Linked DNA regions of Elephas maximus indicus. The protein of the gene in region 1 purifies or fractionates together with the protein of each later gene. This does not show direct contact. Links are inferred from orthologs where the notes say so. Each region holds a gene or a part of one and is shown on either strand. Other genes may lie near its edges. The genes, in order: TACC3, SLAIN2, VASP and CKAP5.

What was found.
Region 2: the proteins of TACC3 (region 1) and SLAIN2 purify together in Homo sapiens (co-immunoprecipitation; 3 studies listed by BioGRID and IntAct, counting the BioPlex papers as one, with this or other methods). This does not show direct contact. The link is inferred for Elephas maximus indicus from reciprocal best matches to the Homo sapiens genes TACC3 and SLAIN2.
Region 3: the proteins of TACC3 (region 1) and VASP purify together in Homo sapiens (co-immunoprecipitation; 3 studies listed by BioGRID and IntAct, with this or other methods). This does not show direct contact. The link is inferred for Elephas maximus indicus from reciprocal best matches to the Homo sapiens genes TACC3 and VASP.
Region 4: the proteins of TACC3 (region 1) and CKAP5 purify together in Homo sapiens (co-immunoprecipitation; 5 studies listed by BioGRID and IntAct, with this or other methods). This does not show direct contact. The link is inferred for Elephas maximus indicus from reciprocal best matches to the Homo sapiens genes TACC3 and CKAP5.

What each region holds. Positions count from the first base shown.
Region 1 is NC_064823.1:160,028,174-160,035,312, reverse strand, and holds the start of TACC3 (transforming acidic coiled-coil-containing protein 3), read right to left. Parts: upstream 3,287-7,139; 5' UTR 3,118-3,286; intron 2,914-3,117; coding exon of another isoform or gene 2,709-2,913; exon of another isoform or gene 2,649-2,708; intron 2,403-2,648; exon of another isoform or gene 1,693-2,402; intron 1-1,692. Other genes in the region: TMEM129 (E3 ubiquitin-protein ligase TM129), read left to right, coding at 2,709-2,913, 6,615-7,089. UniProt on the Homo sapiens protein: Plays a role in the microtubule-dependent coupling of the nucleus and the centrosome. Involved in the processes that regulate centrosome-mediated interkinetic nuclear migration (INM) of neural progenitors.
Region 2 is NC_064823.1:110,843,152-110,850,262, reverse strand, and holds the start of SLAIN2 (SLAIN motif-containing protein 2), read left to right. Parts: upstream 1-3,839; 5' UTR 3,840-4,104; coding exon 4,105-4,493; intron 4,494-7,111.
Region 3 is NC_064829.1:104,186,986-104,195,146, forward strand, and holds the start of VASP (vasodilator-stimulated phosphoprotein), read right to left. Parts: upstream 3,146-8,161; 5' UTR 2,820-3,145; coding exon 2,815-2,819; intron 1-2,814. UniProt on the Homo sapiens protein: Ena/VASP proteins are actin-associated proteins involved in a range of processes dependent on cytoskeleton remodeling and cell polarity such as axon guidance, lamellipodial and filopodial dynamics, platelet activation and cell migration.
Region 4 is NC_064825.1:102,292,527-102,300,341, reverse strand, and holds the start of CKAP5 (cytoskeleton-associated protein 5), read left to right. Parts: upstream 1-4,807; 5' UTR 4,808-4,897; intron 4,898-7,815. UniProt on the Homo sapiens protein: Binds to the plus end of microtubules and regulates microtubule dynamics and microtubule organization. Acts as a processive microtubule polymerase. Promotes cytoplasmic microtubule nucleation and elongation. Plays a major role in organizing spindle poles.

The DNA.
Region 1 (7,139 bases):
GGTTTTGTTTTTTCTGGTGCAGGCAGTTTGTGCCGGCTGACATGTTGGGGATGGGAAGAAGCAGCACAAATGACGGCCTGAAAAGGAGGGTGAGCTGCTATGGCAGAGCTGGAGGGGACAGCAGGAAGCAGGGAGGGGGCTAGGGGTTAGGAATCCTGTTTCAGATACCTGGGGTGGGGGGCACTGAGTCAGCAGGCTGACTTTTGTACGGGAGACTGAATTTTCATGTCAGCAGCCTATGGATGCTGTTTGAGGCTGGATGAGGTCATCTATGGAACGGGCACACAAGGAGACGGTGCAGAAAGAGAACAAGAGGCCCGTGGACTGAGCCTTAATACGCAGACTTTCTGAAGGAGACTTTTCGAAGTGGTCATTAAAACAGGAGGCCCATTGAGAGCCGGGGCTCAGGAGGAAGGTGGAAGAAGGGTTTCAGAGGAAGCAGTCATCCAACTCCAAGGCAGCGACCAGGTCAGGCCAGACAAAATGAGGCCCGAGAGTTACAGGGATTTACCAACATGCAAGTGACCCCTGCAAGAGTGCGTTACTGGGCTAGCAGTGGCAAAAGCCTGACTAGAGTGGGCTCAAGGGAAAAGCGTGAAGCTGTGGAGACAGATGTAGACATATCCTGGTAAGTACCGCAAGGAAAAAGAACAAAAAAATGATGAGCAGCTGTGGTGGTATATTCCAGAAACAAATGTCACGTATTTTCTAATGGAAGAACCCAGCAGGGCTTGGCTAGCAGTGAGAAAGACTGAAGCGATAATAAATGCACAACAAAAGCCTTGAACGATAAAAAAGGTGGGGCGTGAGCTCCAGCATGCTAGCTCCTCCAGCCCACAGAAACAAAGGCAGAGAGCCTGGGCAGATACAGGGAGCGCGGGAGTTGCTGCACGTTCTCTTCCAACGCTTCCGTGGTCTTATCGACCCAAAAGGAAGATCATCGACTGAGAGGCAGATGTTAAAGGTTTGGGAAGCGATGAAGCAGTGGGGGAAGGCGGGTAACAGACCTGGGGGCAGAATAAGAGACCGGGGAAGCCGAGGGAGAGTAATAGGGCTGAAAAGAGAGGCTGCAGTACTGCCGGCTTTGGTAACAAGCAAGGGATAGGGCGGGAAAGGCTCCCCGCCCCCGCAGTCACTCCCCGGATCCTCGCTATCGCTTGCACCTGAGCCAAACACCCGCAGCACGCAGACTGCAGGACAAAACGCGAACCTTCGGCGCTGGGGTCAGAGCCCTCCCGAAGGGCCCCGGCTGGGGTCAGAGCCCGCCCGAACGGCCCCGGCTGGGGCAGGGCCGGATAGGGGGCCCCTGGCTGGGTCAGGGCCGGATAGGGGGCCCCTGGCTGGGTCAGGGCCGGATAGGGGGCCCCAACGACACGGTGCGGTGAGAGGCTCAGACGCGGCGAGCTCGGGCGGCCAAGACACGGGGGCGAGGGTCAGGGAAAGCTTCCGTGGGAAGTGCTGGCCAAGCAGAGGCCCGCTGGGCCCCCAAGTGCAGAGGCCAAAAGGGGAATCACGTCCGACGCCGCCCGCGCCGGCCCCAGCCGGGAGACGGTAGGGAACGGCGCCCGAGAGGCCTCCGCGGCCCTCCCCGGAGCAGGGACGCCTCCAGCCCGCCGGCCGCCTCCCCCTGCCAGGGGCCGGACTCCTCCCACCACGCTCGGGGCGGGGACCCCGACTCGGCTGCCTGCCTACCTGCCCGTCTGCCCGTCGCCGGGCTTCGGGCCCGCACCCCGCCGCTCGCAGCGAGAAAAGAGAGGAGAGCCGCCTGCTCCGCCGAGGTCGCCGAACCCGGGGCACCGCCGCGATCCCAGCCGGAGCTCAGCCGCCTGCCGCGCCCCGCGGATTCAAATACCGACGGTTGACCCGCGCGGCCAATCAGCGCGAGCGGGAGGCGGGCAGGTAGAGCACGGGGATGCGGAGCCAATGAGAGGCCGCATCTCGCCGGCCCCGCCCCCTGCGCTCAGGGCGTTTCCTTTTCCTGCGCGAGGGGCACGCTGGGGCCGTGGGCGGGGCACCCGGGCGCCCTCGGAGACGTCCCGGCTGAGAGGACCCGGGTCCCGCCAAACAGGCGGAAGTGAATGGATGCCCGCGGGTGGGCTTCTCGGAAGTGGGTAGGGGGAGCGTCCACGGCCGCAGAGGTCGGCTCCCCACTCACGTCCACGCATGGCCCTTTCCTGCCGCGGAGACCCGACGGGCGGTTATTGCGGGGCGCCAAAGCGCCGAGGATCTCGGACTCTGCCGGCACGCGACTGGGCTGCGCGGCACAGGGGTGCCGCGCCTTGGGAGCTACTTGCTCGGGCCTTAGTTTCCCTAGCTGTAAAATGAGCCTAGATGCAGCGCCACTTCCAGGACGGGCCGTGGGGACGGACCACACCCTCGATGGGACTGCCTAGGCGGCTCCGTCTCCCATAGTGCCCCACGGACGGCAGGAACTCAATCTCCCAGAACACCTCGCGACTGTTTGGGCAGTGGGCGGGCTCCCCAGGGTGCGCCACGGGAGGCCGGAACACACCTCCCAGAGTGCTCTGCGGGCGGCGGGGACTCCATTTCCCAGGTCTCCCCGCGGCCGGCCTGGCGGCAGTGGCCACAACTGACGGATACACGTCGGGGGCGGGTCGCTCAGGCCTCTTCCCGTGGCGGCGGCGGCGGCGGCGGCGGCGGCGGCGGCGGCGGCGGCCTCGCTCGGGCGGCTTCCCCTGGGCCTCGCGATGGACAGCCCCGAGGTCACGTTCACCCTGGCCTACCTGGTCTTCGCCGTGTGCTTCGTGTTCACGCCCAACGAGTTCCACTCGGCGGGGCTCACCGTGCAGAACCTGCTGTCTGGATGGCTGGGCAGCGAAGACGCCGCCTTCGTGCCCTACCACCTGCGCCGCACGGCCGCCACGCTGCTGTGCCACTCGCTGCTGCCGCTCGGTGAGGCGGGCCGGGCCGCTCCCGGAGACGGCCACCTCCCCACCCAGGCCCCTCCAGCCCCGCTGTGCGCTGGGTCCCGGCCCCCTGGCCCTGCCCCGCCTGGGGCCCGCTCCCCGCCGGCCTCTCGGCGGCGGGTGGCCCGGCCCGGCGCGGGTTGGGGCCCCGACCCCACGACTCCCAGTGTCTGCAGGCGCACACCCTCACCGAGGCTGACACGGCTTTCAGGGTCCCCACGTTTCTGCTTGGTTGTCGTCTGTCAGGTTCGGGGTCAGTTCTACTTCTTCCGAAGCGGTGTGTCCGGTCTGGGTCAGGACCTGAGGGCAGTGCCGAGTCTTCAGGCCCTTCCGGCCTCTCCCGGCCTGTTTCCTGGTGGGAGAGGTCAGGAGTCAGTCCAGCCTCTGTGACTTGTTAAGGGAAAAGGACTCCTGGGAGAGGTTCTCTGTGCTCTGAGCTCGTTGGTTGAGGATGGGGTTGGGTTCGTGCAACTAAGATCTCTCCTGCCCCCTAAATGTGGCTTAAGCACGGTGGACTCTCTCTCTGTTCCGTAACAGAGGTCAGCAGGAAGTCAGTGCAGGGCTGCTCTGGGGGCTTCACAGGTGCCAGTGACCCAGGCTCCCTACAGCTCTCTCCTCTGCCACGGGGACGGTGGCCTCAAAGCCTGTGTGGTGCTGCAACAGCAGCTCATCAGCTTGCTGGCGGGAGGGGACCTGAGAGTCCCCACCAACACCTGCTTTCTTGCATGCCTGGAGTGAGGGGGGCTCCAGGAAGCAGACGCTGAGATGGAATTCGTCGTGCATAGGGTTCCTGAGAAAGGAGCAGGGGGGAAGCGGGCTCAGGCAGGGGAGCAGCGTGGACTGCCCAGTGGGGCACCCTAGGCGCCTGAGATGGGGAAAAATGGCCAGGCTTCAGGACCACAGTCTTGCTCAGGTGTTGGCTGGGGCCACCTGAGAAGAGGGTGACCTCAGCGTTTAGATGGGCACTGTTCTGGGGAGTTCTGAGTGGAGCTTCTTGTGTCTGCCGCTTGGGGGTCTGCTTCTTACAGAGTTGGAAAAAGGGTGCCTGTCTAGTGGCTACAGTGGCCACACCGGAGATGCAGTGTGACAACTTTGTGCTGGCTTGCAAGTGACAGAAGCCGGGTCTGGAACCTTGGGGGAAGAGTGTCTTGGCCCAACTGGGATCAGGTAGGGGACCTCACAACCACCAAGAAGGAAGAGTCAGGAGTAGAGCACATCTTTTGGACTTGGGATCCCTGTGCTGAGAATCTCCTAGACTGAGGAGATGTAACACCGGAGAGAAGAGAAGCGGAGGCAGCAGAAGCAGGAGCCCAGCAGGAGAGAGCTGGGTGGGCTTCCGGGCCCATGGAACAAGAATGTTGAGTGTCGTTGAACGAGAAGGCTGAGTGCCTTTGTGCCGACGCTTGCTAGCCGAGTGGGGTGCTCCTGGGCACTTACTGGTGGAGCTGAAGAGCTTTGTAACAGTCGTCTGAGCAGGGCAGAGGCCAAGGGCTAGGCAGAGGCACGCCTGTGGGCATCGCTGAAAAGCTGTCATGACAAAAGAACTATTTCAAGCTGTTTCTGCTCCTGAATCGTAACCTGCTACTTCCCTAATAAATTCTATAATCGTGAGTATTGTCTGTGAGTACCGTGTGGCCATCACAACAAATTATGGAACTCAGCAGAGAGTGCGGTGGAAGTGACGGTTGGTGTCAGAATTGGTAAGAAGTTGGAGAGAGAAGGTGGAGGATTCAGCTTTGGACTATCTTGATTCTCTTCCCGTCTTGTAAAGTTAGGTCAGATGCTGTGCCGCCACCACACCCATGGGCCAACTTGCTGCTTTCAGTGAAGGGGGGTGGGGGAGCAATTTCCAGGACAATGGCACTGGTTCATGAACTGATTCCAACAGGAAGGGTTGGAGGGCTTCGTAGAGGAGGTAGCATTGCTCTGGGTGTAGGGAGAGCAGGCAGAGGTGGGGTGGGAAGCAAAGTCCCAGGTTGGGGGAACCACAGATGCAGAGGCCCAGGAAAGGCCACGGATGTGAGGCTAGGACACTTGGATGTTACCCAGGGGCCAGCGGGGCATCAGGAATCTGGAGGCGTAAACAGGTCTGGGAGCAGATGGCTGGTGGCAGGCATGTCTGCAGTACCACGGACACAGCAAGGGTATCTGTCTTGCTGGTAGGAGGACACAGTGGCCTGGTCTGGAAAGGTGAGGCAGGTGCGGGGTGGAAAGAGCAGAGACAGCCAGGCTGTGGGCATGTCAGCCTCCCTAGCGTGGTGTGCGGAGACGGGCTGGTGGGGCCTGTACTGCCGGAGGGCTCGAGGAGAGGGCTAGGTGGGTGGTGGATGGCCAGAAGGAGTAGAGGCCTGGGACTTGGAGCCCCCTCACCACCAGTCCAGTCCTGATGCCCGCCCCAGCCCCTGAGTCGTGGTGGGGATGGCGTGGTTCCTCCAACCAGAGAGGCTCAAGGCGGTGAGGCCAGGGCTGCCCTCAGGAAGGAGGGAGGCCCCAGAGATGGGGTGGCAAGCTGCGCCTGTGTTTCGTAGCCCAGTGACCATAGTTGCTCACTCAGCCGGAGCCCCTGACCAGCCAGGTCTCCAGGAGTGCAGCAGCCCCGAGGGAGGAATGCTGCGAGCCCGGTCTCCAGATGAGGAGGGCACGGCTAAGAGGGGCACCCCTGACAAGATCACTCCCATACAAGGGCTGTGGGTTGGGTTTCTGCTTCTGGGGACTAAAAACCCCAGCCCAGCTGCCCTCTAACTGCACCTTCAGCACAAGGGGCTATGTTGAGGAGCACGAGCGTCCCCAAGGCCACCCCAGGAGGACCCAGTGAAACCAAGACTCGGGCTGTTGGGGATCGTTCTGTCAGTTATCTACTATTATTATTATTCAAGTTTTTTGAAGCTTAGTGATTTCAGATGATACATTTACTGTTACCTTTTGGTGGCGTAGTGGTTAAGTGTTATGGCGGCTAAGCAAAGTGCTGGCAGTTCAAATCCACCAGGCACTCTTTGGAAACTCCACGGGGCAGTTCTATTCTGATCTATGCGATAGCTGTGAGTCAGAATCAACTTAACGACAACGGTTTTGGTTTTTTGGCTTTGGTTACTTTTTGCCAACTCAACCTGTTACCAGCGTCATCACTTACGTTAATTGGCTTCGTGGTTCCAGATGTCCCAGGTGCTGTGTGTGCCCCGTCCCTGCTCTGGAGCTCAGAATGGTCCTTTCTCCCGTTTGCATCCTTGGGAATGGGACTGAGAGACAATGGCCTGGGCCCAAAGCTGCTGCCTGAGCTGTGGCCAGCCATTGGTCACCTCTGGGTCCAGCGACACCAAGTCATTGTGTTTATTTTTGTTTTTCTCGGTTTACCTAATTTCTTTGGTATTCATGTATCACTCTTGTGAAACTGATACAGTAAATTAAAGCATCTTGCCCTTGGCTTAGCGCACTAACACTGTGGACGAGAACTGAGGCGGCCCGCCAAACTGAATGGGCACACCTGCTCTGGGTGCTGGCCTTGCCCTGGGAGCTGTCCAGGCTTCAAGTGACCAGGGCAGAGGGCCAGGCCCAGGGCGGGGGACAGGGGAGCATGTGCCCCCTCTTCAGAAATACAGGGAGGGCACTGTGGCCCTTGGTCGACACTCTGGGAGGTGGACAGTGGCCTGGCCTGTCCTTGATCTCCGCTGAAGCTCACTTGTCTTGCAGGCTACTATGTGGGCATGTGCTTCGCAGCCTCGGAAAAGCGGCTCTACATGCCCAGCGAAGCCCCAGAGGCCTGGGGGCTCTTCCTCCTGCTGGCAGTGACCCTCCCTGCCACAGCGTGCATCCTCATTTACCACTGGTCGCGTGAACAGTGGGCCCACCACCCGCTGGCCCGCACACTGGCACGGTATGCCCTCCCACAGTCAGGCTGGCGGGCCGTTGCCTCCTCTGTCAACATGGAGTTCCGGCGGATTGATAAGTTTGCCACCGGGGCACCGGGTGCCCGCGTGATAGTGACGGACACCTGGGTGATGAAGGTGACCACGTACCATGTCCACGTGGCTCAGCAACAGGACGTCCACCTGACCGTGACAGAGTCACGGCAGCACGAACTCTCGCCAGACTCGAACCTGCCTGTGCAGTTCCTCACCATCCGTGTGGCCAGCGCCAACCCCTACGTGAAGGCCTTTGACATTCGGTAAGCGTGGCTTAAGTGCCGCCACCAGCAGATCGCATGCCTGGGTGGGG
Region 2 (7,111 bases), about 49 Mb from region 1:
GGAATGGTATATAAGCTTGGGTCCCTTGCTAGGTGGTTGCGGAAAATGATCCAGCCGGCCGCCACTGGAGAGGGCAGCTGCTTGCCCCTGTCAGTAAGTTTCCCCGAATAAACGTATGAATCTAGAAAGGGCTATGTGTCAGTTCTTCGGATTATCTGCCAGGATGCACAGTGAGGGTCTTTCCCTTGCTGGGACTGCCCCCCAACACATGTATAGTATGACATGTTGCTCTTTCGAAAGAGGAAAATGTAACTTAAAAAATCAGCCATTCAAAAAAAACATTCAAAGTGATGAAGAATTTCCACTTCAATGATTTGAGACATAAACATGTTTACCTGAACCTCTGTTTTAGGAGGCTTCACTTGACCAGAACTCATTCATTCATTTATTCAACATTTACTGAGTACCTACTATGCGCCAGTCAGTGTTCTAGGCACTGGGGATGTAGCAGTAAACCCTATTCTCATATAGTTCACATTCTACTAGGAAAAGATAGGCAATAAGCACAGAAAGAAATGAACGATGTGTCTGATGAAAAATAAAAGCGATTAAGAGGGTGAGGAATGATAGGAATGCTATCTTATTAGGATAGTAACAATGAAGATGGTGAGCTTAGGGGGTGATATTTGAGCAGAGACCTGAATGAAGTAATGAAGTTAGTAATGTGAAAATGTGGTGGAAAAGTAGGTCCTTGATGGAGGGAATAACAAGTGCAAAATTTCTGAGGTAGAAACATGCTTGGCATATCTGAATAAGAAGGCCAGTGTGGTTGGAGTGAAGAGTGGGAATAAATGAGAGACTTGCAGAAGATTATCCCAAAGTTTCTGGCTTAAGCATCTGGAAAAAGAGTTGCCATTTACTAGGAATGTAAAGACTACAGGACAAGCTCTTGGAGTGTGCGTGTGCGTGAATCAGATGTTCAGTTTTGGACTTGTTTGAGAAGCCTATTAAATACCCAAGTTCCTAAAACAGTGCCTGCCACATAGTCCAAAAAGAACCCAAACGTGTTCCCGTCGAGTCGATCGTGACTCATAGCAACCCTATAAGACAGAGTAGAACTGCCTCATACGGTTTCCAAGGAGTGCCTGGTGGATTCAAACTGTAACTTTTTGGTTAGCAGGCATACCTCTTAACCACTGTGCTACCAGGGTTTCCTGCCACATAGTAGGGACTTGATATTTGTTGAATGAAAAAAAAAAGATGTAGAGTAAGGCAATTACAAAATACAAATATAGAAATCCAAGTAATCTACTACATATGTCTAGATATTTATCTAAGTATATTTACATTTATGTTTTGCAATGATGAAGATTCACCAATATAGTGGAAATCATCCAACTCCCACAGTCTGAAAAAGGTAAAGACCTGAGATTAAGTAGCCAGAGATTAAGACCAAGCAACATATTTATGATATAGCCAGAACCTGCAATCAGGCCTCCTGATTCCTTTTTTTTATTATTTTAGATGAAGGTTTACAGAATAAACCGGTTTTTCATCTTAGTACACACATTGTTCTATGACATTGCTCAACAAACCCACAACATCTCAACACTCTCCCTTCTCAACCCTGGGTTCCCTATTACCAGCTTTCCTGTCCCCCCTGCCCCCCACCTTCCAGTCCCTGCCCCAGGGCTGGTGCACCCCTTCAGTCTTGTTTTGTTCCATGGGCCTGTTCAACCTTTGGCTAAAGGGTGAACCTCAGGAGTGACTTCAATACTGAGCTGAAAGCGTGTCTGGGGGTCATACTCGCAGGGCTCCTCCGGTCTCTGTCAGGCCAGCAAGTCTGGTCCTTCTCTTTGAGTTAGAATTTTGTTCTGTATTTCTCTCCAGCTCTGTCCAGAGCACTCTACTGTGATTCCTGTCAGAGCAGTCAGTGGTGGTTGCCGGGTACTGTCTTCTTGTACTGGACACAGTCCAGAGGAGCAGGCCTCCTGATTCTTGATTCATTGTTCCACATTATATCCAGCTCTTTTTGCTCTGTGGAATCTTAGTGTTTAGGTTCATAATGTTGAGTGAACTATTCTTTTCAAGGAATATATTCGAAAGGTTCTTCTTACAAAAACTGGATAGTTGGAATTATTTTACAAACTGTTAAATGCATTAAAAACTGCTATATATGAAGTCATCATAATGATTAACCCCCTGGCAACTAGTTTAGATGTGTCAGAGACAGCAATGATATTTAGATGTGCATTATATAGATAATACATGTGGTTATTAAGTGCTGTTGAATCAGGAGAACATTATCTATAGTTAGCCAGCAAACTTAAAATACTCAATGTGTCTCTTGCTACCAATAAACATCCATGTGATCCTTGACCTGTAAGAATGTATATTCTATTTAACTTCCGACATACCAGGTACCGAATGTCTATTGTGTCAGACATTATTCTAGACATGGTAAACAAAATGAATGATCCCTCTTCATCAAGTATACAGACAAAAACAAACTTAATTCCTAGAAAAAGAAGCATTTTTTTTTTAATTGCAGACACCTATTGAAAACTGTTGATCAGGTAATGCTAGAAAAAAACCAACCAAAAAAAAAAAAAAAAACGTGGCATTGTCAGGAAAGGTGTCTTGGTTGGGTAAACATGGGTTTTAAGAAAAGGATCAGATTTGGCAAGTAGGATATTTTATTAAAGGACAATACAGCATAGAAAGGCTCAGAGTAGAAGAAACTAATTCATGTCATACAAATCCACGCCCTGGTGTAGTAGAACCGGATCATTGTTAGCTAAGGGCGGAGGAGGCAATTGAAGGAAAGCTGCAAACAGAAGCCAAGTAGTTCACAATGGACAGCTAAGAGAAATGCGCAAATCATTTACTTTTTTTGGTTTGTTTTGTCGCCAGTTGTGAGGCAGATTTTTATATTCATATATCTCTCCGCATTCTTCAGTATCTCTCAAAAGATTTCTTAAGTACTTTTAATACCCAATTTTGAAAAAATGTCGACATTTGAAAAAGTTTTTCTGCAGAAAACGATCCAAAGAGCAGAGTTAAAAAAAAAAAAAAAAAAACCCAGTGAGTCCATTATTTAATGGGAAAAGTCTAAAAAGAGCTGCCTTCTATGGCTTCCCCCTCCCCTATGCTTCCGAGTCACAGGGTGCAGTTAAACTTTAAGTCGGGAAAACTACGTTTTATTCGATGAGATAATACCTTTAAAACGCTTAGCAGAGTGGCCCGTACTAAGCACTCAAGAAATGGTAGTTATTATTATTTTGACCTTAGACCTCTTAACCGTTTGGTATTTTGTTTCCTCACTTTAAAAGAAGACAGGGATCACAGATCGTTTCTAAGGCTCCTGTCGGCCCTGACAATCTCCTGTTTCAAGTAGGCATCGAATAAACACTTGCTGAACTGAAAAAGTAAACTCTCTCCACGGGGTTGGGCTGAGTGCCCACTCGAGAACCAGCCGCGAGGTGGGGCAGGATCGGCCCGCGGGTATCACACGCCGGTGTTTGGCGGTGAATAACAACACGCCCACCATCCAAGACCGAATGAGCAGAAGGCGGGGCTGAGCAAGGGTCCTCGCTCGTGAGCTCAACCCCACCCACAGTCAAATCCGCACTCATCCCTGGCCGCGCCCGGCATATCGCAACCGCTCGGTTCCCTACCGATAGCCCGAGTCACTTACCCAGTGGGCGGGCCCCGTCCCACCTCCCCAGCCCCACCCCTTCCGGGCATAGACCCGCCCACCCACTGCCCCGCCCACCCTATGACCCCGCCCATGGCCCCGCCCCGCAGCAAGCTCGGCGCTCCGTCCTCTCAGAGTCCGCCCGCGGCCGCGTCCATCCGCGACGCTCTGAGGTCACCGACGGAGCCGGACAGCAGGGGGCGGAGGGACGCAGGGAAGATGGCGGCGGAGGCCGGATATTGGCGCCGCCTCCCACAATCCTGGAGCCGGCGCAGATGAGGCGGCTCGGCTGGGGCCAGCGGCGCTTCGGAATACGAGCTGGGGGGACCCTGGTGGCGGGGCCTGGACCTGCTATATGCCGGCGCCTCGGCTAGAGTGAGCGGCGGAGGCGACACCTCTTTCCTGCGGCTCTCTCCCTGTCGCTGTGAGTCCGAGCGGGTGGCGGGCGGCGGAGTGGCGCGGCCGGGATGGAGGACGTTAACTCCAACGTGAACGCGGACCAGGAGGTGCGGAAGCTGCAGGAGCTGGTGAAGAAGCTGGAGAAGCAGAATGAACAGCTGAGGAGCCGCTCTGGGGCGGTGCAGAGCGCCGGCCCCCTCGGGCCCGGCAGCCCGGTTCGGGCCGGTGCGTCCACTCCCTCCTCCGGCACTGCGTCCCCTCGGGGCTTCCCCTTGGGCCTAAGCGCCAAGTCGGGCTGCGGGGCCGGCTCGGGCCCGAGGCGGACAAGTAGCGAGGAGCTGCGGGATGCCTCCTCCTTGTTGGCGGCGGGCGAGGGCGGCTTGCTGGACGAGGTGGAGCCGCTGCGGCCCGAGGAGTTGGAGCGCTTGTCAGGCTGGGAGGAGGAGGAGGAGAGCTGGTGAGTGCAGGGCACCGGGCCCGGACTGGGCGGGGATGGGCCGGGGGTGTAGAGCGTCTTCCAAGGGTCTCCTTGGTGGAACGCCTCGCTTTGTGTAGCGGGATCCGCTTTCTGGCATACTCATGGTCTTGCCTTGGCTGCGAAAAGATCGGCCGGAGGTGGGGATTCGAGGGGTGGGCTAGGAAAGAGGCTGGTAGGTAGTTTTCCTCTGGGCTGTGGACTCCCCGAGTCCTGGACCCCGTCGGGGTCTTTGCGTTGACATAGCCGGAGAAAGGCTTCTCCCCATGGGTAGAGTCAGAAACGAGAAATTGCTTTGTAGGAAAGAATCGTGCTTTGTGTGAAATACCAGCCTTCGGGTGGTGGCCGGGGCATTTTGGATTTCAGGGAGGGGTCTGCTGGATGAGGTACCACCGGTTGCGGGGGACAGACCAGAGTCGTCTACCTCCGTTTAAGTGGTCAGTGTTTTGGACCAGCGTGAGGTGGGTACATTTCTGGCAGGGATAGGGAGACCGTGTGAATCAGCATTCCCGTACGGGCAGTGGGGTAAAGCTTGCTTTGTGTGAAGAGGGCAGAAGAAGGTGCTTCTTTGTGTGAAGAGTCAAGGGTGGAATAAGACCCTTATTCTTTAGTTTTTAAACAAGAATCGGGTTTGGGAATTTTTCGGAGCTGCGAAGTGACAGTTGTCACATCAGTCTTTCCATGTCGTCCTAGGGGCAGAGAAAGAGAGTCCTATTTTAAAATCTAAACCAAAGCTGTATTGTCATAAACCACTTTTTGATGAAATTGTGACCCACAGCTTAATATCACTTACCTAAATAGAAAGGCTATGGAAGGCCTTTTCCATCATATTTTATTGCAGTCAAACAAAGATGCCTATGGGAAATTCTTTTTCTTATCCCTTTTTAGAGTTTGAATTTTTAACTACAATATTTCTACTCTTTGTTGAAATGGAAACTTCTAACTTAGTGAAATAAAAATCCTTCGTAGGCTCTTGGTATTGCAAGGCTCGATTGAACTTTGTAGTGTACTAAGGTAGTTAAGAGCTTCGCATTCACACCAACCTCAATTCAGGCCCTGGCTCTGCCTCCCTTACGAGCTATATGACCTTGGGCAAGTTAGACCGAGCCTCACTTTCTCCCTGTACTTGTTGAAGAAAATAATAGTTCTTACCTCTGTAGAGTTGTGAAGACTAAGTGAGGTAATGTGTGTATGCTTTTAGCACTGAGTCTGGCATATCATAAGCTCTCCAAGTCTAGCTGCTATTATACTTAAACCGAGTTATTTAAATCAAGACGTATTTAATGAACTCTTATAGGATTTCGTTGGAGATTCTAAACATTCATAAGTGTTGATCCCGTTTCTTGAAGTAGTTCAGTCTTGTCGGGAGCTAAGTTTTATGCAGTTAAATAGGCTAGGACATATACGATGGATAAATTGCCAAAGGAATGCTAGGAACAAAAAGTACTGAGAGTACTCAGAAAGTGGGAAGAGAATAAATAATTCAGAGTAGTTGGGGCAGACTTTTGAGAAGGGGGTGGCTTTGGAGCCTGAGGGCGGGAAAGAGTGAGAAGGCATTTTTGCGCTGACAACTGCAAGAGGGGAGTCAGAGGTATTTGTATAACTTCCAGTTAAGACAATTTGAATGACAGAGGTACCCTGGAATATGTTATGTCACGCTTTATTTTATTGCGAGGTGACACCAAATATTATTAGAACCGGCTATGGTAGTGACAGTTTTTCATATTGGTGTGAAATCACGTCCTCCCAGAGGAATCCTGGGCGTGTATACACTGTAAAAGGACTCAGAATCATCTAAATGTCGTCACATGCCTTTTCTAAGTGATGATGATAATGATGCTCTTACCAATGAAGGTTAGCTGCACTCATGAGCCCGTTTTAGATTCTGTATTATTAGAACACATTGACTCCATTTGGAGAAGCTGATGAAGACTTTGGCTGCTTTGATTTTTGAGCATAGGGTTTGTTCAGATAAAGCAAGTCTTAGATACTATGACAGAAGTTTCTTTTGATTCCTGCTTACTACCTTGATCCTGGCTTCATATCTTGATATTATAAGTTTTGTGTGAATAAAAGTTTGATAAGTCATATTTGTTAATTAAAAGTTTGATAAGTCCTATTTGTTTTGGGGTATGTGTTTGGGGCATAAATTGGATGGAGATGGGTGTCAGGGATGGGGAAGGAAGGTTCATAGAGTAAAAACTTTTTATTTGTTAAAAAGCTGTATATCTCTACCTTTCTATATCTTCTACCCAGTGTAACTTTTTCATCTACAGGAATGTTTTTCCCCAAGTGTCTACCACAAAATGCTGGTTCTGAATGTGTCAATAGATATTACCTGAAAAATAATGGTGGGTTCTGGGGTCAAATAAATGTGGGAAAATCGAGGTTGAACAAAAATAAATGTTTCTTTAATGCTGAACTTTTCTGACATACTAATGTGTACTCAGTATAGTAAATCTCTAAGAGGTAGTATTGGTTTCCTCAACTTATTTGAGCTCCCAGAGAACTAATCCTGTAGAACATACTTAGAAAACAGTGTTCTTAGATCAGTGGCTTTCACACTTTTGTTTTTTTTTAACTGAGCTGCATGGTAAGAA
Region 3 (8,161 bases), on another chromosome or scaffold:
ATCCCATAGCCACTTCATACCATAAAACTTGTGACCTCTCAACTCCACCCTGGAGTTGAAGCAACCCTGGGGTAGGGAACCAGAACCAGGGTCCCAGCCCTGCCTGTGGTGCTTTGTGTGGCCTCATTCCAGTCCCTTCTCCTCCAAGGGCCTCAGTTTCCCATAAATGTACAGAAAGGTCAAGCTTCCTGCCTGAATTCGTTTTGCTTATCTGCTTCATCTTAAGTGTCCCTAGAGCGAAAATGTGTTACCTGTATTTACAAAAAGTTTTTTTTAATGTCCCTCCTTCTTTAATAAAAAAAAAAAAAAATTTTTTTTTTTTTTTTATAGCATATAGTAATTTGGAGACAGCCTGGGTTCAAACTGTTTGATGTAGCAGGAAATTTGCTTCTCTGTGCCTCAGTTTTACCATCTGTAAACTGGGAGGGCTGTAATGACATTAACCTCCTAGAACTGTGAGGAGGATTAAACTGAATCAGGCCCTAGTACTGTGCCTGGTACTGAGCAGATGCTTGAGCAAATGTTTCTTTCTTTTCTTAAATAACAATAATAACAACTACTATTACTGGAAGAGGGAAAAAATGGGCTCAAATTCTTCCTGAATCCACTCTGCCTGGAGATTTTCAGACTACTTCCCCTCTTCTCGGCCCTCCCAGAATTCCAGCTCAGAGTTCTGTACACACAGGAGACACTCAACAAATATTTGTCAAACTGGGAGAAAAAGAAATATATCTTGTAATTTTCCATGTTAATATCCTCTCCTTCCAACTGCCCATCGACTGTTCCCAGCCTAACCAGCCTAATCAGAGGACTGAATCCCAGCATTTCCCTACTCCACCACCCCCAAATTGTCTAGGATTTGCTGAGGGGCCTTTATGCTATGGTTTTCTCTTTGAGCCTCAGTTTCCCCAGCTGGGAATAGAGGCATGGTTCTCCTGAATCCTAGTCCTTGGAGAGGGGGCAGAGCCCAGAAAGGGAGACCCTGCAGGAGGTGGGAGTGACCCTCTAGTGGGATAGGATCAACTTCTGCCCACCCCCCAGGAGGTGGGAGGTTTGGCCACAGCCATCACAAGAGGGGGCCCTGTGGGAGGGCCAGGGCCTCGGGGCTGGGGGTAGGGCGGGAGGCCGGCCCAGAAGCTGCTCCTGCCCTTTTACGGTCTCACAGCGAGTGAGGCAGCACTAACTCGGACATCCGCCATCCGCCTTCCTTGGGACCGGAAACGCGCCTGGGGGGGACAAGAGGCGGGGCTGGGGGGGGCAGTGGGAGAGCAGCGTCCCGTCCCAGGGGAAGAGGGTGAAGGAAGACCGCAAACTGCCCCCTCTCCAGGGCAGACCTCAAGGGATACTGCTATAACAGGGAGAAAGCTAGACAGGAAGTCTCGAAGATGTCTGTGGGTGCCCCCTTGCTCCGAATTTTCCAACAACCCCTTTCCCAGCAGAAGGAACAATCGGGAAGAGAGTTCTCTAATGGTCATAGAAAGGAATGCCACCCGAATATCAGAGGCAGGGGTGTAGGGGAAGTGGGAGTGTGCGGGCACCAGGGGGTTAATCCCCAGCAGTCCCCTGGGGCCTTCCCCCTTAGGCTGGGGGCTTTGGGGCAGGAAGTCCCAGAGAGAGTGGAGGAAGGGAGATAGTATTGTCAGGCTCCAGCCCCAATGGAGAGATTATGGAGGGTTGTGAGTCCCTTCCCCTAGCCCAGCTCCCGCACTAGCCCCACCCTCAGGTGAGCCCGGGAGTTTTAGGGGAGGCCTCATGAAGACACAATCCCTGGGTGCCTTGGCCCCTCACCCTCAGGATTAAATTCTTGGGAAGATAACTGGAACTCTCTGGGAAGCTTAGGTCCCAGGGGGAGAAGGCTATGACCTTGAAGCTTTCTTGCGCCCCTTCCTCCAACCCCACAGCTCCCGAGGGCCCGGCAAGGCTGCGGGGAGAGGGGGGGTAGGTAAGGGACCGGGGTGAGGAGAGCTGCCAGCCCAACGCGCTCTTTGCCCGCCCCCCACACCAGCTGTCTCGACAGGTGAGTCAGAAAGACAAAGGCCCCCCTTCCCCCAGCTGCCGCGCCCCCTCCCTCTCTAGGGCCGCGCAGGTGGGGGAGAAGGGCCGCCCTGCTGGCTGAGGGCGGGGAACCGCCCTCCGCACAGAGCGCTCGCTCTGTCCTAGGCACGGCCTGTTTCGGGAACCCTGTGGGTGCAGAGAGGCGCGGGAGGGGAGTCCCAGCCAGACCCTCGAGGTTGCGTCTGGGTCCATCAGTCCGTCCGAACTGACCTCCTCCACAAGAGGATCTTAGTGTCCCTCCCCCCCAAAATTTAGAGGATTAAGACGTACCCCTGAAGTTAGGAAGCGCGGTTCCAACTGGGGAGACTTTTCCAGCGCCACGTAAAAGGGGACCCCGCTAACAGGGGTCTGCGTGTTTGCCTCTCTCCCAGGCTCCAGAGTCCCCAAGCCGATCCCTCCCATACCCCGAGTTGAGGTTTGGGGGGATTCTGGGGTCTGCCTAAATTCTGGCATCTCTGCGGAGAGAATTCGCCAACTTAGAGGTCCCCTGAAAAAGTCTTTAAAATTCGGGAGTCCGCCGGAGCGCCCCCAAATGCGAGGGCTCCCAGGAGAACCTCACCGGCATCACCCCGAACCTTAGGAGTCTGGGGGAGGTGGCCAGTATTTGAAGCTCGTCCAAGGGGATTCGGCCCCAAATCTAAGGCTCCTAGCACCCGGTCCCCAAATTCCAGCCCCAAGCGAGCTGGGGGAGGGGGGACAAAGGCAGGGCGAGGAGCCCGCGCCGGGCGGGGAAGGGTCGGGCTGCAGTTCGCGGCTCACCTCATGGCTGCTCACTGGCGGGTGGCGCGCCCACGGGGTGAAGGCTCCCGGGGCGCCCCTGGCTCGCTGTTCAGGGGTTCGGGGCTGGCTCCAGGTTCTGCTCAGTCTCCCCCAGGGTCCCGCCCCATAGAGTCCGGCTTCCTGGGGGGAATGTGGCCGGGGCCGAAGCGGGTCCTCGGTCGCCTTCTCCCCCTGAGGTTTGATGGGGGTCCCTACGGCAGAAAGGGGGTGCGGCGTCCCCTCCCCGGCGCGCCCCTCGGCCGGCAGCGGCTACAATGTTACTCTTACTACTGTACTTCTCTTCGCTACATTTCGTTCCAAAATTCCACTCCCCGCACCCACAATGCCCCGCGCCTTAAAGGGGCCGCGGCTGCCTCAAGGCTGGGGGTGGAGGGCGCTTAAAAGGGCAACGCGGCACCGTTGACTTCCGCTATTTTCCTTGTCCTCAATGTGAGTGCATAGGGGTGCACTCCGGGGGTCACCCAAAAATTGGGGGGGTAGCTCGGTAGAAGGGAAAGGGATCCTTTCACGATCCCTATGTCTCCCCCAGTATGGAAATTCTTAGGGCGATCGAAACGGGCACAATTTTTCCCCTCTCGTCCTCCCCATTGACTTCTCCATTTCTTTCCATGTTGCTAAATTTTGGGGGGCGAGGGCTCGGACCCTCTGGGTAAACACAGATTCCCTCAAATTTTGTCCCTTAAACCCCACCTTCGGAGCCCCCAACGTCTCTGTCTTCTCTGTTTATGAGAGGGGTTACTGGGGGGGTGAGTCCCCTATCCCGTACAGGAGGGGGATGGGTGGTTAGGGTCCCACCCTTCTAACCGCCCGCCCCGGGAAGGTGAGGAGGAAGTGGTCCGAGGGGGCGCGGCCGGCCTATGACTCACAGCCGCAGGGTCGGGGTGTGGGGTGAGGAGGGGGGTGGGGGCTGGGGAGACGGGCGGGGGTGGGGGGAGCGGCGCTAGCCTGGGGTAGGGATGCGACGCCGGGCTCCTGTGTGGGCCCCTCCCCACGCACGCCCCGCCATGACTCAGTTTCTCCTGCGGAGGATGGAGGGATCATCCCAGCAATCTAGGGGGCCCGGAGGCGGGGAGACGCCCAGGTGTCCCTTCCTCGGGTCCCCCTTTCCCAAGCGCCCGCTCAAGGCAGAACGCAGCGCCCGGACCTCTTCCGAGGCTTCCGCAGCGAGTCCCGCAGGCCCCGCCCAAGTGACGTCACCCCGCGCGGCCACGCCCCCCGGAGAGTGCCACCTTGTCCGGGTGAAGTGCTTACAGGAGGGCCTGGAGCCTGAGAAATCTTCACTAAGATGCGTGCAAATGGGTAGACTGAGGCCTGGAGGCAGGGAACGTATCTGGGCTATGGCCCTCTTGCCGGAGCCCCAGGGTGTGAGTGTAAAACCAACATTTCTCAGGACCCAGCAGATTCGACGATGCCCTGTTGCTGCCCTCCTTCACCTGGGGAGCACCTCACCTTCTAGGCCAAGCCCTGAAAGGAATTCTCTGAAGCACCGAGTAAACCCCCTCCCCTTCTCCACCCCACTGTGGATACCCTGAACCCTGATCCACCTAGCTTGTAATTGTTCTTCCGTGTGTCTTCTCCAGGTGGGAGTTCTTTGGGGGCAGGGTTATACTTGATCGATTTCTAGGCTTCACCCAGCCCTGCCAGACTCAGCAGCAATCGAATTAGGACCTCAGTTCCGTGGGATCTTGGTCAAGTCCTTTCTCCTCTCTGGGTCTCTGCTTTTCCATCTGTGAGTATTTCTGGGTGCCAGGGGTCAGCAGACTTTTTCTGTAAAGATCCAAATAGTAAATCTTGTAGACTTTGGGGGCCACGTAAGTCCGCTTTCACATATTTTTCTTTACAACCGTTTAAAAATATAGAAACCATTCTCAGTTCAAACCAAAACCAAACTCGTTCCCGATTCTGACTCATAGTGACCGCATAGAACAGAGTACAGCTGCCCCATAGGGCTTCCAAGGAGCAGCTGGTGGATTCGAACTGCAACCTTTTGGTTAGCACAGCTGAGCTCTTAACCACTGAGCCACCAAGGCTCCATTCTTAGCTCAAGTACCACTACAAAATAGGTAGCAAGACCCCTCCACTAGAGAAACCCTTGCATATGTGCACAAGTAACCTGTTCAGTGGTCTTTGCGGCAGCAGTGCTGTCGGAGCAGGAAATTAGAAACAGCCTAAAGGCCATCAAAGGAGGGACGGATAGCTAAACCATTGCATAGCCCTCCTCTGGGCATCAGCTGAAAAGAATGGAGTGTGTAATTGCATGGAAGAGATCTCTATGATGCTGTTGAGTGACAAAACAAGTTACCGGTACGAAAAAAATCAAGGAAATACCAAAGATGCCATATATTTGTGAGAGGAACATAAACATGTGTGTACATGCAGAGGAAGGAGCCGTGGGGGTGCAACTAAAATGCTGACAGTTTAAACCCATTCAGTCGTTTTTCAGGAGAAAGCTGGCGATCTTCCCCTTAAAGATTACAGTCGAGAAAACCCTATGGGGGAGTTCTACTCTGTCTGTCACACAGGGTTGCTGTGAGCCGAAAATCAGCTCCACAGGACCTACAACAACATGCAGAGCAAAAGACCTAGAAAAATTCACTCCTTTTTGGTTACCATTCTAGTTATCTAGTGCTGCTGTTATAACAGAAATACCACAAGCGGATGGCTTTAACAAAGAGAAATTTATTCTCTCACAGCCTAGGAGCCTAGAAGTCCGAATTCAGGGTGCCAGCTCCAGGGAAGGCTTTCTCTCTTTGTCAGCTCTGGTGGAAGGTCCTTGACATCAATCTTCCCCAGTAGAGAAGCTTCTCAGCACAGGGACCCCAGGTCCAAAGGACATGTTATCCTCCTGGCTCTTGTTTCTTGATGGTATGATGTCCCCATGTCTCTCTCCTCCCTTCTCTCTCTTATATCTCTAAAGAGATTGACTTAAGACACAATCTAATCTTGTAGATTGAATCCTACGCCATTAACATAAAAAAAACAAAAAACTGAACCCAGTGCCCTCCGACTCATAGCGACCCTATAGGACAGAGCAGAACTGCCCCGTAGAGTTTCCAGGAAGTGCCTGGCAGATTCAAACTGTTGACCCTTTGGTTACCAGCTGTAGCACTTAACCACTATGCCACCAGGGTTTCCCCTCATTAACATAATTGCCTTTAATCCTGCCTCATTAACATCATTGAGGCAGGATTTACAACACATAGGAAAATCACATCAGATGACAAAATGGTGGAAAATAACACAATTCTGGGAATTGTGGCCTAGCGAAATTGACACACATTTCTGGGGGGACACAATTCAATCCATAACAGTTACCAGTGAAATAGGGAGCAGGAATGTGAGGAATTCATTGGTCATAAAGATCTCAAGCCTCATCCTGGCAATGCCAAGTTTGATCCTGCCTACAGGGCTTTGCACTGGCTGTTCCCTCGGCTTGGTACACTTTTCCCTGGAGTATTTGTACCCCTAGCTCCTTATCTGTCAGATCTTTGCTCAAATGTCCCCTTTTCCCTCTGCAGAGGCCTTCCCTAAGGCCCCTGTCTAAAACACTACCCTGAGGTGGAAAATTCAGTGGCTGAGGGTGGGGGATGGAAAAAGACTTTTCATTGTGCACCATTTTGTATCCTTTGAATTTCGAACCGAGTGAATTGATTACCCATTCAAAAAACAAATAACAATTTTAAAGACCAAAGTAGGGCCCCTAGTCATTTTGTTATCACGTCTCTGTTTTGTTTTCCTTGGGATACTTGTCAGTGTTTAAGATGACCTTATTTATTACAGGTCAGTCCCATGGGGGTAGGGTTTTCAGCTGGCCTTGCTCAAGGTTGTAAGCAGGGCCTCAGGCACAGCAGGTGCCCTACATTGATTTGCCAACTAACTAGGTAAATCTTGTTTATGTTTTCTACAAGGAAAATATGTCTGAAGTTACTTAAGTAATTAAAATTTAATAAGAACTCTAACCAGCCCCAATTTAAAAAAAAAAATTAAACAGATAAAAATGGGAAGGAAAGTGAAGGTTATTGAACTGAGTGATTTCTCTGGTTCTGTTCAGCTGTAAATATTTCAAAATTTTGGGGGGTTTTTTTGGTCTGAATGGTGTGTGGAATTTCCCCCTCATGTAAGATTTTCTGTCAGAGGGAACTAGGAGAAAGGAGAATAAGCACTCTGAAGTTCCTCCATGGGCTATCTTCCTTCCGCTGGTCCTCTGAGCTGGGGAAGGGGTCAGTTTTTTTCCTTAGTTGCGTGGGGCCCCCAGCTGAGTGGAGGATCCCCAAAGGACGACAGCTGTCAGGCCTCCAAGCTCAAGGCAGCACTTGAATGGAGGCTGGTGGGCTTTCCGGTCCTACCGTGCCCCTTCTGTAATGCAAAATGTGGGAAATGGTGAATGGGAACCCCCTTCTCGCCCTCTCAGCATCCACTTCCCTGTCGTCTGGAAGCAGCACTCATATTTCCTTTGAGGGTCTACCATTCCCCAGTCTTTCAATCCATGAGGTTTGGCTGGAGCAGCCCCAACCCCAAGTGCTAAAGGTGGGCATGTGACCCTAGCCAGACCAATCAGAAACACAGAGACTGATCAGACATGTGACTCAGTTGGGCCAATGAGAACCTGCTATGGGAGGACTGCTGGAACTACTGGGAAACTGGTGCCCTCTCTCCACTGGGGATGGTAAGATGGTGGGATGTGAGCCTGAAGCTGCAACTCTGCTACCTCCCAGACCTGCCTGGGAATGAAGCCAACTCAAAGAAAATAAAGCTAAGAGACAACTCCTGATGACAACATCTGAGAGCTGGATCCAGCTATACCTTAAGTCCCTGAATGCTTCAATTACAGGATCCAATAAATTTCCTGTTTTGCTGTCACAGGTTAAATTGGGTTTCTGTCACTTACAACCCAAAGAATTCTGATCAAGACCTCCTTCCATTGCTTAGAAACTATCAGCAATCCCCCGTCATCCAAAAGATAATAACCAACCTCCCTTTCCTACCAGGTAAACACCTTTGGATTCTGGCTCCAGCTTTCTCCTTCACATTTCTTCCCTGACTCCTGCCCCCACACCTTAATTTATGCTTCACTACCTACTACTTCTCTTCTGCAGCTACCTGAGTCCAACTCACAACTCTCCTGTCCAAGACCTAGATGGTTCTCAAGGATATTGTCCTCGGGGTCTCTGCACTTCGTTCAGCCCTTAGAAACCAAAAAACCCAAACCCGTTGCCATCAAGTTGATCCCGACTCATAGTGACCTTATAGGACAGAGTAGAACTGCCCCATAGGGTTTCCAAGGAGTGCCTGGTGGATTCAAACTGCTGACCTTTCAGTTAGCAGC
Region 4 (7,815 bases), on another chromosome or scaffold:
TCAATTGCCAAATCCTCCAGTGTCTCTTGAATCTCTTTGCATTATTTCCACTACCATTACCTCATGCCAGTGTCCTAATTGGGCTCCTGTTTCTCAGCTCTAACCCATTTTAGACAATGAAGCTAATTAACTTTCCTAAAGTTTAGTTCTGATTGTGTCACTCCCCTTGCTCTGAAACCTTCAATAACTCCTTATTGCCTACTGAAATACAAATTTCTCACCCTAGCATTCAAGGCCTCCAAGACCTGTTCCCATCTTCTCTGTATATCTTGTGTCCAACTACTTTCCAACATGAAACTTGTCCTAAAATCAAACCCACACATTAATTCCTCTATATAAAATGCACTTACTTGTCTCTGTCCCCTTGCTCATACTTTTCAAGCTACCAGACATGTTCTCCCTGTCTCTTCTATTAAGAAAAGTAACATGTTAATGGTAAAAAATTTATTTCCCTCCCTACTAATCCTGCTCTTAAGTTTCTTGTAATTCCAGGAATGTTCTAACCATTTTCAGGCATGTACACAAACACACATTCATTTATAACATACATAAATCATTCCATATATGCTTTTCTGCAACTTGCCTTTTTTCAATTAATAATTGCACATTTTTCTGCATCAGCATGTATAGATTAACCACATTCTATTGAATGGCTATACCATAATTTACATAACAAGTTTCCTATTGATGGACATGTAGTTTCCAGGGTTTTTTTTTTTTTTTAATCGTAAGCAGTGCTGCAGTGAACATCCTTGTACATTTTCTTTGCATACTTGCATAGATCTATAGAATAAATTTCTAATGGTCACATTAGATTTTAATAGTTGCCAAATTGTCTTCTGAAAGTTTGCACCAGTTGTATTCCCATTGCATTAATAATTGATACAAGGCTGATTCTCCAAATGTGAAGATAATTCACATCCCTGCATTCCCATTTCTTCATCTCTGACACCAACCACCCACATGGCATTTTCTCTCTCTGCCCCTAACCACCCTGAGTTAAGTCTTTACAAAATGACTGCCTGCACAGCCCTCTTCTGTCCACCAGCCACCCAAGGCTGGGGTCTTTACAAGTTAGGACTCTATCCTTCTAATCAACTGCCAAAAAGGCAGGCTCCAGGCCCTGTTGGCCCTCATGACCCAGGTAGGTTCAATAATTGCTAGAATGGCACACAAAACTCACGGAAAGGACTATAGTCACTAAAACTTTTAATTATAACCACAAAAGGATATACACGAACAGAGGCACAGGCAAGGTCTGGGAAGAGTTTTTGGCACTGAGCTTCGTCCCCAAAGATGTGCCAGTCCAAGGCCTAGGGTCCTTTTTAATAGTCATTGGGACCTCAGTGTATATGTGTGATGGAGTCTTAATGTATAGTCAATGACTGATTGAATTACTGAATATGCATGGCTGCATAATACCCCTCTCCCTTCCAGAAGTTATTTCGATTGGTGTGGTCTTTGGCCTCCCACCTCATCGGCTTATAGTGACCCTATAGGACAGAGTAAAACTACCCCATCGGGTTTCCAAGAAGCGCCTGGTGGACTCAAACTGCTGATCTTTTGGTAAGCAGCTGTAGCTCTTAACCACTACACCACCAGGGTTTCCTGCACATGTTTAAGTGTTGTCAAACACTTAAACAAATCTGTCTTGGAAGAAGAATAGCCAGAATGCTCCTTAAAAGAGAGGATGGTGAGACTTTGTCTCACGTACTGACACATGTTATTAGGAGGGACCAATCCCTGGAGAAGGACCCTCATGCTTGGTAAAGTAGAGGGTCAGCAACTAGAGGATGACCCTCAACGAGATGGACTGACACAGTGGCTGCAACAGTGGGCTCATACATAGCAATGAGTATGGACCAAGCAAGCAGTGTTTTGTTCTGTTGTACATAGGGTCACTATGAGTTGGAATGGCACCTAACAATAACAACAATAAGTGTTGCCAGACTGTTTTGGAAAAACAACGGCACTTTGATTGCTTGAGAAATTCCAAGGGCTATTTTCAGGAATGAGAGACAAAATGCCAACTCTTTGTTCCACACACCCACCAACCCTGTGTTTGAGTGTCTATTTCTCCAAATCCTGGCTAACCCAAGGTTATTAAACTTTTTCATCTTTATCAAGATTTTTGAAAGATTTTGATAGCTCTGATTAAAAAAAAGTATTATTGTGGTTTTAATTTGCTTTTACCTATCCCCTCTCCATTAAAAGCCTACTGGTAACCTGTTTATCCTTCAAATCTCAGATTAAAATTTCATCTCCTTTACAGATCCCCCACCCAGTGGTGTCACTAGGGTTGGTTTCACCTAGTGCGATGACTCATGGTGTCACCCCCCCATGCTAATTACCACAATATTGTAGCTAAAACACCAGAAAATTGACAAAATCAGTCACTATAAAAACACCACCAGCAACAAAAACAACAGTGCATGCTTGTAGAGTGTGCAGACAAAACTATGTGATTCAAAGCTCACTGTAATTGGGTAATAATGACAGCTCTGACCAGTGCATTAGAATGTTCAAAAAGTAAATGAGCATAGAGTTTTATCCTTTAGGTATACTGAAACATGTAAGCTGGGCTTGTGAAAAAAAATTTTGTTGCTATAACTACAGGAATTATTATTATTTTTGTTTGTTTACAGCTCAAGTTTAGTTTCTCGTACAAAAATTTATTCACACATTGTTAAGTGACCCTAGTTGCTATCCCTATAATGTGACCACACATTCCGCCTTTCCACCGCGGATTTCCTGTGTCATTTCATCCAGGTCCTTATCCCTTTTTGCTTTCTCATCTTGCCTCCAGAGAGAAGCTGCACTAAGAAGCACACTCTTAAGGAGTGTCATTTTACGTCTTATAGTCCAGTCTATTCTTTGTCTGAAGAGTTGGTTTTAGTTCTGGGTTAACAGACAGTCCAGGGGCCATGTCTTCTGGGGTTCCTCCAGTCTCAGTCAAACCACTAAGTCTGGTCTTTTTCCTAGAATTTGGGTTCTGCTCCCCACTTTTCTCTTGCTCCGCCAGGGATTCTCTGTTGTGCTCCCTGTCAGGGCAGTCGTCGGTGGTAGCTGAGCGCCATTTAGTTCTTCTGGTCTCAGGCTGATGGAGTCTCTGGTTTATGTGGCTCCTTTTGTCTCTTGGGCTAATATTTTCCTTGTGTCTTTGGTGGTCTTCATTCTCCTTTGGCTCCAGGTGGGTTGGGACCAATTGACATCTTAGATGGCCACTTGCTAGCTTTTAAGACCCCAGATGCCACTCACCAAAGTGGGATGCAGAACATTTTCGTAATAAATTTTGTTATCCCAATTGACCTAGATGTCCCCTGAAACCATGGTCCCCAGATCCCCACCCCTGCTACACTGTTCCTCAAAGTGTTTGATTGTGTTCAGGAAACTTCTTAGCTTTTGGTTTAGTCCAGTGGTGCCAACTTCCCCGTACTGTGTTGTCCCTCCCTTCACCTAAGATAATTCTTGTCTACTACTTAGTGAATTCCCCTGTCTCTCCCTCCCTCACCACCCTCGTAACCATCAAAGAATGCTTTCTTCTGTGTTTAAACCTTTTCTTGAGTTCTTATAATAGTGGTCTCATACAATATTTGTCCTTTTGTGACTAATTTCACTCAGCCTAATGCCTTCCAGATTCATTCATGTTATGAGATGTTTCAAGGATTCATCATTGCTCTTCATCGTTGTAACTACAGGGATATTTTTAATAAAAACTCAAAAAGTTCTGCTCTAAACATTGCACAAAAATTTCAGACAGTCATTTTTGTGTTACTCCCTCTGACAGTGTCACCCAGTGTGATCTGCTGTGACTCCACTGCCTCAGCCACTGAATTTCTCCCTTCACTAAGCATTTACAGCTTTTCATTATACAGTTCCATACAGCTTTGAATTTTAGCGACTTTTATCTTCCTACCACTGTAGATTGCAAGTTCCTTGGAGTTAAGGACCTGATCTTTTTCACAGACATATGAATGTATTGCTAAACAAGAATTTTAGAGAACATATTAACCAAGCTTCTCATTTTTTAAAATAACAAGAGTATGGAGTATTTGCAAAATGAGTTACAGTTCATAAAGGCTTTTCCCAGACATTTTTAATTAGTTACATTAAATCCTCACACTAAGCTTGCAAGGGAAACATCGTGCTATCGATGTTTTTTTATTTCAGATTAGGAAACTAAGCTCCAGGAAGATTTATTAACTGAGTAATGTGATTTACTCAGTAATAGGTCCAAGACAGGGCCCTGGTGGTTAAGCCTTCGGCCACTATTCGAAAGGTCCGCAGTTCTAATCCACCAGCCGCTCCGTGGAAATTGTGTGGGGACAGTTCTACCCTGTCCTATAGGGTCGCTATGAGTCGGGATCAACTCGAAAGCATTTTTTTTTTTTTTTAGGTCCAAGACCAGAATCCACCGTCCTCGTCCCGTTCCACTACATCACATCCCAGCTGCTTCTCCTTTTCCTCATAGCACTTAGCCGCACAATCAATATTTTCTGAACGAAACGACTGAAAAAAAATGCCAGCTGTAGACAGCAGCTTAAATATCTGAAATTAAATAAAGCAAAAGTGCTGACAGCCATGGGTACACATCTCTACACACACCTCTCGTCCTTTCTTTCGGGATCGTGGGCAGCTTTCGCTCCAGCGAACCTCTCTTTCTCCTGGGAGTTTCCTCACCCCAACAGGCAAGGCACGGTCCCGAGGGAAACACGACTCGCGCGGCCCCTTTAAGGCTGCGGGCGGCGCGTGCCCACAGTCCTTTCAAATGGACCAATAGAAGGGCGATGGGCAGTCAGTCGAGCACCAATAGACAACGAGGACACTGCGGGGTGTGCGGCGGCCCAAGCGGTTTTAAACGGCTTAGAGCAGGCCCCTCGGTTCTGACCCGGCTGAGGTGAGTGGGCGGTGGTCCTGACCCAACCACACAGGCCCGCAGATCTCGGCGTCGCGCGCGCGGAGGGTCCCCGAACCCAGGTCGGAGGACCTCCGTGGGCGCGCGCCTCCCATGCCCCACGAACCCGGCAGAGCTGAGGCGGCGAAACGGGGCGGAGGCCCGGGGACCTGCGGCTGGGAGTGTGCGTGGGGCGCCGGCGTGCGTGTGCGACCGAGGCCGAGGCTGGGTTCCCGGTGACCGGAGGGGCGCGGGCGGCAGCACCCAGGAGGCGCGAGCGGCGCAGGGCCGCGGCTAGCGGCTGTGTTCCGGGGTTGGGGCGGGGGCCCTGCGAGCCGGCCCTGAGATTGTGCTCGTCACGTAATTGTCGAATGAATGAATGAGAGCCTGGGAAGACTGTGGTGGTTCTGAAGGGCCCGGTCGCCTCGGAGTATGATAAGGGCGGTGGTACCGGGGCCTGGCCGCGCACCTCTGTCCCTACTGGCTTGCTGCGATTTTAACGATTCTGGTCATTCACCGCTCCGGTGTTAACGCCTGACTTTCTCTAGGGCAGGAGGCTAAGCCTTTCAAAGGTGTCGATAGAATTTAGGTGGCTTTCCAGTTTTGTAGGGTTTGAGGACCAGTATAACAGCCAGCAGTGTAAGCTAATCAGGCCTTGCTAGTTCGGGGAGGGGGGGTGCTGGTAAACTACACTCTTACTTTTTAGCGCTTAACCACTCATCGACCATTGAGATAGTTACCCTGCAACCCTGGTAATTGTCAGGAAGAATTTAAATGCATCCTGTTTTGTTTCTGGCATAGAAAATGATGAAATTGGTGTTGCCAGGGTGTCCGCTGTGGGTTAGAAAATATACGTATTTGTCTCGATGAATCTTAATGAGTTTTTCGTTCAGTGTCTCTATAGGGTGAAGTGGTTTTTGCAGAACTTGTCCCACATTTATGCATGGCTCTAATTTAATTCTCGGGGGAACCAGGGCATCAAATCTTGGCCCAGAAATGCTGCCTGTCTTATTTTATGTATAATTATAGTAATTGAAAACTCATTTTTCGAAAGGTGAGCTCCTCCTTTCCCCATTTTTATCTCTCTGAGAAGTCCTTTTTTGACCTCACGAATAGCAGCTGCCAATAATTAAGCTAAGTTTTTTGAAACTTTTATGAAGTCATAAAATATTTGGACTTTCTATAAATTACTGGACAAAATGTATTGTTTTATAAAAATTAATGATATAGAAAAAAGTGAAATCGATTTCTTTTGCCAGCATAAATTAAACCTGGTTTGTAAATTCGTGAGAAAAAATTTTTAACACAGGTTTTCACACAGGCAATATTTATACTTTATTCTCTTATTACTTTAAAAGTCTTAATCATCAGGGTTGAATTATAAGGAGTGGTGTGAGGTAGTTCCACCACAACTAAAGCCTTCTACAACTGACAGCTCAATTTTAGCAGAGTTTTAAATTGTAATAAATTTGAGTACTTTAAATATTACGAACACTGGTCTAGGTTCTGAAGAAGCAGTTAAAAATAATGAGCATCTTTAACAATGCCTTCGGATAGTGTTAAAAGTCTTGACATACGGCCAGACTTTCTTTTGCTTCTTTGATTTAATGGGGTCTCATTCATTTATTCAACAAATACGGAGATTGATATCTACTATGTGTTAAACCTAACTGAAAGGTTGGTGGTTCGAACCCACTAGCCACTCAGTGGGAGGAGGATATGGCATTCTGCTCTCCAGCCAAGAAAACCTATGGGACAATTCTACTTTGTTCTATAGGGTTGCTATAAGCTGGAACCGACTCCATAGCACACAATGACAGCACTGTTCTAAACTCTATTCTAGGTTCTGGGAATACCCTGGTGATCCAGAAAAAGACAAAGCCCCTGACCTTAGGGAGTTTTACAGTTTTATCCCCCCAACAATTTATTGTAGCAAATTGTAATTTTTATAATCTCTGTGGCCCAGCTGTGGTCCTTGAACAAAATAAATTCTCAAATACATTTATTAGCACTAGCTACATTTTTTGAATATTCATTGGGTGCCACATTTTATCTTTTCTAATCTTCACAATGGAGCCCTGGTGGTGCAGTGGTTAAGCATTTGGCTGCTAATCAAAAATCCACCAGCCAGTCCTTGGAAACCCTATGGGGCAGTTGTGCTCTGTACAGTAGGTCACTGTAGGGTCATGAGTTGGAATTGACTTAACTAGACAGCAATGGGTTTGGTTTTTTTGGTTAATCTTCACAACAACATTTTACAGATGAGGAAACTGAGTCTTAGAAAGGTTATGTAACTTGTTCAAGATCATACAACTAAGTGACAGAACATCATTTTGAACCCAAGTTTGTCTACAGGGTCTTTGTAAGGCTCTTAACCTATAGTTAATGCTATGTGAAGTAATGGGGTCTGATAGGGACAATTCACGAGCAATTTCTGTGTAGAATCGCTCCTTCCCACACTTTTTTTTCTTCTATTTAAAGACATGATGAAGTATGAGTGACAGGCGCGTGGTAGTTTTTAGAGGGAAGATGGACACAGTTGAAAATACAGTGTTAGCAATATGGGAGATAGACAGCTGTGACAGTGTGGTGGGGAACTGGAGGGAGAATTTAAAATTGAAGTCTCAATCCAATTATAATTTATGAATTTCTGGTCGTCAGTTTTGGAGAGTTTTGAGGTTCTTAAGGGATTCTGGTGTTCTTTCTTCTAGAGTTCAGAATATGTTACTTAGTCCTATCAGGGCAGTTGTCGTTTGCTGTCAAGTCAATTCGGACTCATAGGCGCTCTGGTGGTGCAGTGGTTACGCTCTCGGCAGCTGACTGAAAGGGTGGTGGTTCAAAACCACAGCGTAGGAGAATGATGTGGCATTCTGTTTCCATGAAGATTACAGCCTAGGAAACCCTATGAGGTTTCTTGTCTG